Linked DNA regions of Caenorhabditis elegans. The protein of the gene in region 2 purifies or fractionates together with the protein of the main gene of each other region. This does not show direct contact. Each region holds a gene or a part of one and is shown on either strand. Other genes may lie near its edges. The genes, in order: rpl-35A and F47B7.2.

What was found.
Region 1: the proteins of F47B7.2 (region 2) and rpl-35A fractionate together in Caenorhabditis elegans (co-fractionation; one large-scale study listed by BioGRID). This does not show direct contact.

The regions. Positions count from the first base shown.
Region 1 is NC_003280.10:7,103,296-7,106,879, reverse strand, and holds rpl-35A (Large ribosomal subunit protein eL33), read right to left. Parts: upstream 1,318-3,584; 5' UTR 1,312-1,317; coding exon 1,262-1,311; intron 1,038-1,261; coding exon 875-1,037; intron 831-874; coding exon 693-830; intron 647-692; coding exon 623-646; 3' UTR 564-622; downstream 1-563. Other genes in the region: F10E7.9 (Amino acid permease/ SLC12A domain-containing protein), read left to right, coding at 26-235, 279-389; farl-11 (DUF3402 domain-containing protein), read left to right, coding at 1,879-1,909, 1,950-2,128, 2,171-2,317, 2,362-2,511, 2,558-2,737, 2,787-3,584.
Region 2 is NC_003284.9:3,771,131-3,775,060, reverse strand, and holds the start of F47B7.2 (Sulfhydryl oxidase), read right to left. Parts: upstream 2,300-3,930; 5' UTR 2,285-2,299; coding exon 2,227-2,284; intron 1,962-2,226; exon of another isoform or gene 1,830-1,961; intron 1,785-1,829; exon of another isoform or gene 1,522-1,784; intron 1,368-1,521; coding exon 1,231-1,367; intron 1,182-1,230; coding exon 1,099-1,181; intron 863-1,098; coding exon 751-862; intron 697-750; coding exon 539-696; intron 486-538; coding exon 143-485; intron 1-142.

The DNA.
Region 1 (3,584 bases), on a different chromosome or scaffold from region 2:
AAAGTTTTTCAAGTATTTTTTTCAGTTTCTGGTGAACTTGGCAATCCTTCTCTTAATTCATTTCTGGTTTGCTGTAGCTCATTTTGTCGCTCTCATCGCGTTGTATTGGTACATTGGAAGAGTCTGCCCAACTTGTGGTCCGGGAATTTCAACTTTCTCGTTATGTCACATGTTCAAAACAGTGTTTTCTTCATTAGATTCTTTGCGATCAGGTGCCACAACAATTTTGCCAGAGGTGAGAACGAATTTTTGAACCAGGATTAGTTTCTTTTTTTCAGACAACATTTACGAGCGGCGTATCGAGTTCCCAACAAAACGAGGCCAATCCAGATTATCAAGACAGACGACAATATCATCACTCGGAGAATGTTTCTCATCAATTAGATTAATCTTATTAACAATAGAAACTATAATTCATCCTTAAAACCTTAAATCGCTCCAATTTTGTTAATAAAAACTTTAGAAAATATACGTTTCCAGAAGAGAAAGTTTCACAATAAACTTACAATTATATGAATTAATGTTTTCAATAGAATGTGATTTTGCACAATTTAAAACGTACATTCAAAGTCACAACTGTTTATTACAACTGCGAACAATAACAATAACAGAAGATCACCACTTAGATGTTGGATGGGTAGAGAAGCTGAAAGAAATCAATGTGCAATTGAATAAAACTAGAATTATCTTACCACGCGGATTCTCTTTCCGAGGGCACTTGGTGGGATGTTGTGATGGAACTTGGCTCTAACGGCTCCGGCGTTTCCGTGTGGGCGAGTGATCTTTCCCCAGATAGCACGGGTACGGGTGGCGACGGTGTGTCCGGTTTTCTAAAATGAAAAAAAAATTAAACTGAAAAATATATGTGCGATACCAAAGTCTTGTTGTGGGCCTTGTACAAGTAGACGACGCGCTTTCCGGCGTAGAAACCAGCATCTTCCTTGTTGAAGACTCCCTCAAGCTTCAAAAGCGAGGTGTGCTCGGATTGGGTGCGAAGTCCTCTCTTGAATCCGGTGAAGATGGCTTTGACGTAAAGACTGAAAATTAATTTATTATTATTTTGTTGATGTCCTGATTTGTGAATTGCTGATCCGAGAAAATGGAAAAAAATGCCGCGGATTAGATAAGACTAGAAATAGTTAGGATAATGCTACTATACATTTTTTAAAGACTATATGAAGAATTTGCAGTCTGAATATTTTTCAGCAGAGCTCAAAAATATCCAGCGGTCACTGATTAAAAAAAAAAAGCAAAAACATACCGTCCAGTAGTTGGGGCCGATGGTCTTCTAGCAACAGCGGTGTCAGCCATTTTTACCTGAAACGAAAATTAATTTAGTGAAGAAGTTTAAAGTGGACGGAGAAACGAAATAGCGACGAAATAACAAATGAACATTTTTCAGATAACTGTTTTAACAATTTTTATGAGACTGGAGAATAATTGCGAAGAATAAGTAAGTTGAAACTTTTTACAAAAAATCGAGATTTAACGAAGTCCTAAAATCAAAAAGTGGTTTTTCGTAAATGATCCAAGTAAGAGAACAGCGGGGAATAAGATAAACATGATAATATTGATTTTATTACAAAAATATCCATTTTCTGCTCAAAAAATTCGTAGGCCAGCATGAAAATTGGTAAAAGAAAAGAAAAAATTCCGTAAAACGAGTCGAGGCGCAAAATAACTACGGTAGAAATGCCTGCACATCTAAACGTTAAAGCGGAGTGTCGTAGTGCGTGTTGTTTAGCAAATTGCAAAAAATATTGTTTTGTTTTTGCTTTCCTGTTTTTTTATATAATAGTTTCTTACGGAATTTGCTTGCGCTTGACAATTGAATAAAATACTCATTTTTAGTTCTACTGAACGAGAAAGCCGAATGTAATGGGAATCAGGCCTAATTTTGCAGAAGACGGTGAGAAAATGAATATATCATCAAATAAACCTCCTAATAGTTCCAGTTTATGGTGACAAAGAAAGGCGAAGTGCTGATGATGAACATGTTGAATACTCCGAAAGCTCACTGGCCGCAAGACGATCAGCAAATGTTTTGAAATTGAAGCAACTGAAAGAAGCTCAGCCTATGATAACTCCAGCGTATGGCGGATTCATTCATCATGAAAGCTCTGATAATGTAATTTTCATGAAGAAGTTGAAAAACAATACAGTTTTGCAGGTTGCCGCCATTGATAAAGATCTAGATTTCGAGTATGGTGACGGTGATGCAGGAATTCGTGAAATGGCAGAACTTTACAGTTATTCTGAAATAGAAGAGTTCGGTATTAACATCAGCAACTGGAAGGAATATATAGAGGAATCATATGCAAGCGATTTTACAACAGGAAAATAGTTATTTTTCTTTTACAGGACGGCAAGCACGAACAGTTTCCATCGACATTCGAAGAATTTAGTGCTGTCCAAAAAAATTATGTTATTCAAGACCTTTGCTCTCGAATGGAAAGTGCAGATTTGGAAGTTCGTTTGAAATCAGCTCGTATAATTCTCTTTCTGCTCCAGGTTTGTCTCTCATTTGTTATTCGATATATATTTATTTAAATTTCAGGGATCAGCAACAGACTTTGGATGTTTAGAAAATGAGGAAATTGAATATCAGTATGATCAAAAATTGTTGATGAATGTCCCTATTCGAAAAACCAAAGAAATGGACCCTGAGGGCCCTTCAATGGTCTACCATCGTGCAATCGAGAATTCTTTCATTTGTTATAAGAACGGCGTTTACCAGGTATATCTTTATAATTTTCAATCATTGTTTTAAAAATGTACATTTTCAGGCGTTGTGTACTCTGTTGATGACAGAAATTAAAGAACCATTTGAGAGCCCACCGAACGACGGGAGAATTTCAAAAGCAAGCTCAAGAAGTAGCAGGAATGCCAGTTTAGCCGATCTCTCGGATTCTGAAAAATGGAGAACGCGGCAGTTGCCAACTATGGTTGATAATGAAATGCTTCGCGTAATTCTCGCTGGACTTTATCATATGATTGTTCAAATTCTCGATGAGCGATCTGGAAGAGAAGACGAAACCGATAGTGATCTTGAAACCAGAAAAGCGTTTCGCGAAGAAGTTCAAGAACCAATCGAAAATGGAAATGAGCCTCTTCTTATTGTACTTTTCGACATGCTTCATCCGTTCTACATAGGAACTGCACCACATTTTCCAATTAAAAAGATTGTCCTGCTTATCTGGAAAATTTTATTGCTGACGCTTGGAGGTTGGGAGGAGCTTACTGTTCGTAAAAGAGAGAAACGAATGACTGCTGGCCTTGATATAATGGAGGATACTATAACTGTAGCTGCATCACAGGCCGCATTTATCGCAAAAGACCAAGAACATGTTCGTAATATGGCTCATAGAGCTGGAAGTTTTGCGAGAGGCGGTATGATGGCCCGTCAAATGGCTTATAATGATGATTCAAAAGACGAAGACGCTTATTCGGAAGCGAGCTCCGAAGACTCAACGATTGCTTCAAAGAAAGAAGATTCTCCAGGCGCTTCATCATCAACCCCACCCTCCATTCCTGATACTGCTTCGAATTTCAGACAGGGAAGTGGTGAGCAAACACCACGAGTT
Region 2 (3,930 bases):
GTTAGCCACGCCATGCGGTCCACATACCGAAAATAATCTGTTTATTTTTCTCCAAAATTGTTTCCACCTCGAAGCCCAGCCCTGAATTTATTTACAAGCCCATTTGCCCATTTTCAACATAAAAAAATGTTTATAGACTTACCGCAGCATTGATCGGATGAACAGTTGGTCCCGAAGCGGCAATTTTATCTCCAATCAGCTCATCGATTTTGTCTTGAACATCAACCCACTTGTCGACCGGGCTGCTACTCTTCCACAGTGGCTCCTGATTTCCGTTGGAGAACAGTAATGCATGCACACCGCCATCGGAGAAGAACTTGGTGGCAATTGGATGATTTTGGGTAACATAAGCAACTTTGACACCATTGTTCCCGTGATAATTGATCAAGTTCGCCCATGCTATTACAGATGGACTGTCTTGAACGACAATTGCAAGATATGAAGTTGTTCCAATCGACTTGAACACTTCTTCCAACGTGGTAGTGCTAAAAAGGTTGTTTTGAAATATTTAAATCTGCGTTAATCACAAAATACTTACTCAGAAAGTGGCAAGAAGGTCGGCCAGCTTTCAGGGTTTTGCTTTTGAGCATCGGCTTGAGCAAGACCAGCGATATCATGAGCCAACTTGTTGATGTCATATTTGTCCCCACTGTACTTCATTCCATCGTCCTTATTGTGCGAGTTGTATTTGAAGTACTGAAAATTGTTGTATTAAGATTTCCATTCTCATTTAAAAAATTGTTTGCTTACTCTAAGAGATGGATATGAGCTAACAGAGTGCTCTCTGCAAAGTGGCATGTTCTTGTCATCGGCACAGTTGACCACAGTCACTTGAACGAGCGGAGCCCATTTTTCCAGTTGTCTGAAATTATTGGATTGAAAAAATCGTGGAACTTTTTATTATACATATATTTGAGTATGCAATTTTCAATTGTATAGTTTATAGTTTTTCATTACTCAAAATGAACCGAGATATAACCTTTTCAAGTTTTTGCGGAATGTTTTTTGTTTGATTTAAAAAAATCGTCGGCATGAAAGCCATGCAATCACTATGTAAATATTATCAATGTGCATTCCATTTTGCTAATCTGAACTTACTTGGCGAACTTTTTGAACGTTGGAGCATATCCGATGCAAGCACCACACCATGAAGAGTAGAACTCGATGAAATGTGCTTTTTTCTGAAAAGCTTTCAGTTTATTTTGGAGTTTTTCAAGGGAAAAAACATACGGATCCATAGATAGCTGCACTGAATGTATCTACATCGAGTTCGAGAATCGGATCGTCTTTGTCGTATAGTGATTCGCCAGAGCTTCCTCCAGCGCTGAACGCCAAGATAACTACCAAGATGAATAGCATAAACACTCCTGCAAAAAAACCAATAGCTTATAGTTTTAAACTCCTATTCAAAATTGAAGATTAAAGAAAGATATGAATACACTATTAGACAGAAATTAAACTTATGACAAAAAATCCGTCACACTTTTACTTTTGTTATGATAGTGTATATAGTTCAGACGTCACCAAAAAGGGTTTTCTAAAAATCTAAAATCTCACTAACAGCAAAAAAGGGAAAAGAAGAGAAAAGCGGATTTGAATGTGAGAAACAGCGAAACGCGTGTAGGATAGCGATGAAAGAAGAAAATTCGACTTGCGGACGGGGAAGTGGCTAGTTCGAACAGGTTTTTGGGTGGACGAAGCAAGCTATGGTCGCCTATCTCGAGCGCGGAAGACATTGATTGCAAGCAAAACATACTCGGGGAGAAATTTACTTCGGTGACTTTTTTGTTATAATGTTTCAAGGTATACCTAATTGTAGTGCAAAAAACAAACACCCATTCGGATATGGCGCGTCGAATGAAATGAAAACCGAGTGATGATTCACTGCAATGAGGTCACTCAATAATAAGGTCGCACTCATCCCACGACAGCGCGTCTTCCAATATGTGTTTAATGGGAGTTTCGTTTCGCCTGCCGAACTGTCGCCAAACCCTAGACTACATGACGGTTGGTGCACGGCGGACAGAAGCCAATATCGTCTCGATTATCAAAAATAGAATGGAAATGGTGTCCGGCAGCGGGACAATGCCGTCGAAAGTGAAATATACATCGGCGAATTTGTCTTCTCGCATATGCCAATAAAATTTTTTGATGTGAACCGTACACTAAACGGGCCGTGCTGACGTGCACACCGCCGATCGATAACTCAATTTTCTTGCAACGAACCTGTTATGACGGCAGCTATGCACAGACTCTTTGCCACTCCTGGCTCTTTTTCGTTCATGCGGTGAATTAACCCTGAAATTAACAGAAGTAACAAAATGATAGTGAAGAAAAAATACACAGATTAAACTTAGTAACACAGAAAAATAAACTTAATTAATTCTGAAAAAAAAATAACAAGTTGGCAAATGAGCCTAGGTGCCTGCGTGGAAGTCCGCAATTGTGCGTAGGTTGTAGTGTTTGCAGCCTAAAATTATATGGTGATTGCGTGAAAGTTACTTATTATATTAGTGTATTTAATAAGTTATGTGAGAACATTATGATATTGACGGAATAATAATTTATATTTTATTGAGAAATTTGAATGGAAAATTGAATTGAGAAAAATTGAAATTGAATGTTGTGTTCTGTTATATACACGTTGCATTGAGTATTTCAACATAATGGAAGATGTTTTTTGAAATGAAAAAAATATATACCACGGTTTTCAATAACATTATTATTTAAAAATCGTATTATATTTTTTTTAGCAAGGTTTAAAAAACCATCGGCTCCAAAACTGCAAACTAAACAGGAGATATCTGAAAAAAAAACAAAAAAAAACGTATACCAAAACAGAAAAAGCAAAAAATAAATATATAAATTCAAAACTTTTTGTTTCAAATTTTTGTAGCTGCTCTATATTTGTGACAATTAAAAAAAACAGTACAAAAAAAACAAAACAATATACAATACTGATAAAATTGGTGTCAATAATATTTCATGTTCAAAAACTAATCTGCGTGCATTTTAAACAATTTCAAAATCAAAAAATACATATTTTTCAAAACTACTTAACTAAAATTAAAATGTCTACAGAAGCAGAAGTAACATTTAGATTTCTTCTAGAAATATGTTATAAAAGTTTTTAAATTCTACTTTTTTTATTTAATGCTTAATTCAGTATTAAAACTAGAAAAAATTCACAGTAATAACTGTTGTGACTTGGGCCTAACGCTTCCCCTGCGTCCCAACTTTGCAGATATATGACCGGTCAGGCTCACCCACTCGCCACCACTCATCATCCGCGAATACATTCACTCTCCGTTGTCCTTTTCCGTTTATTATCTATTAATAATAATTCCCTTTTGAATTACCGCCATTTGCGTATTTCCCGATGCAAGCGCGCTCCTCCGAGACCTCCCGTTACTCCGGAGCGTCGTAGCTCCGTAAATCCACACAATAATTCTATCCTACTTTTAGGCCAATCGTTCATTCTGTTCTACCTTTCTCCAGACGAGTCAGCGGCTACCCATCCGCAGACACTGTGATTCAGGACCTTTCTTCACCATTTCCATCCTGATAATCACTTTAATTCCTATTTATATCCTCTGAATAAACTGGAATTTCGTCTGAAACTGTGTACTGTTATTCTCTCCGCACCGCTTATCACCAATGCCGCTCGAACATTGCTCCGTGTCTCTCCGCGCGTATCTGAAATACGCTGTTTGTCACTCGGTAGGGTGACTGACTCCCCTCTACTAGTCCCGAGTGTCAACATTGGTGCATCGACCGTTGCAGCTCTTGATTTTCACTAAAAAATCGAGCTGTATTAAGAATCTGGAGTCAGGCGGAGACACGCGGCGCGGCTAGCGTGCGTGTAGAGTTAGTACGGGTGTTCCTCCTAGAAAACACCCAGAACGGTTGATTTCCCTAGAAATCAGGCGG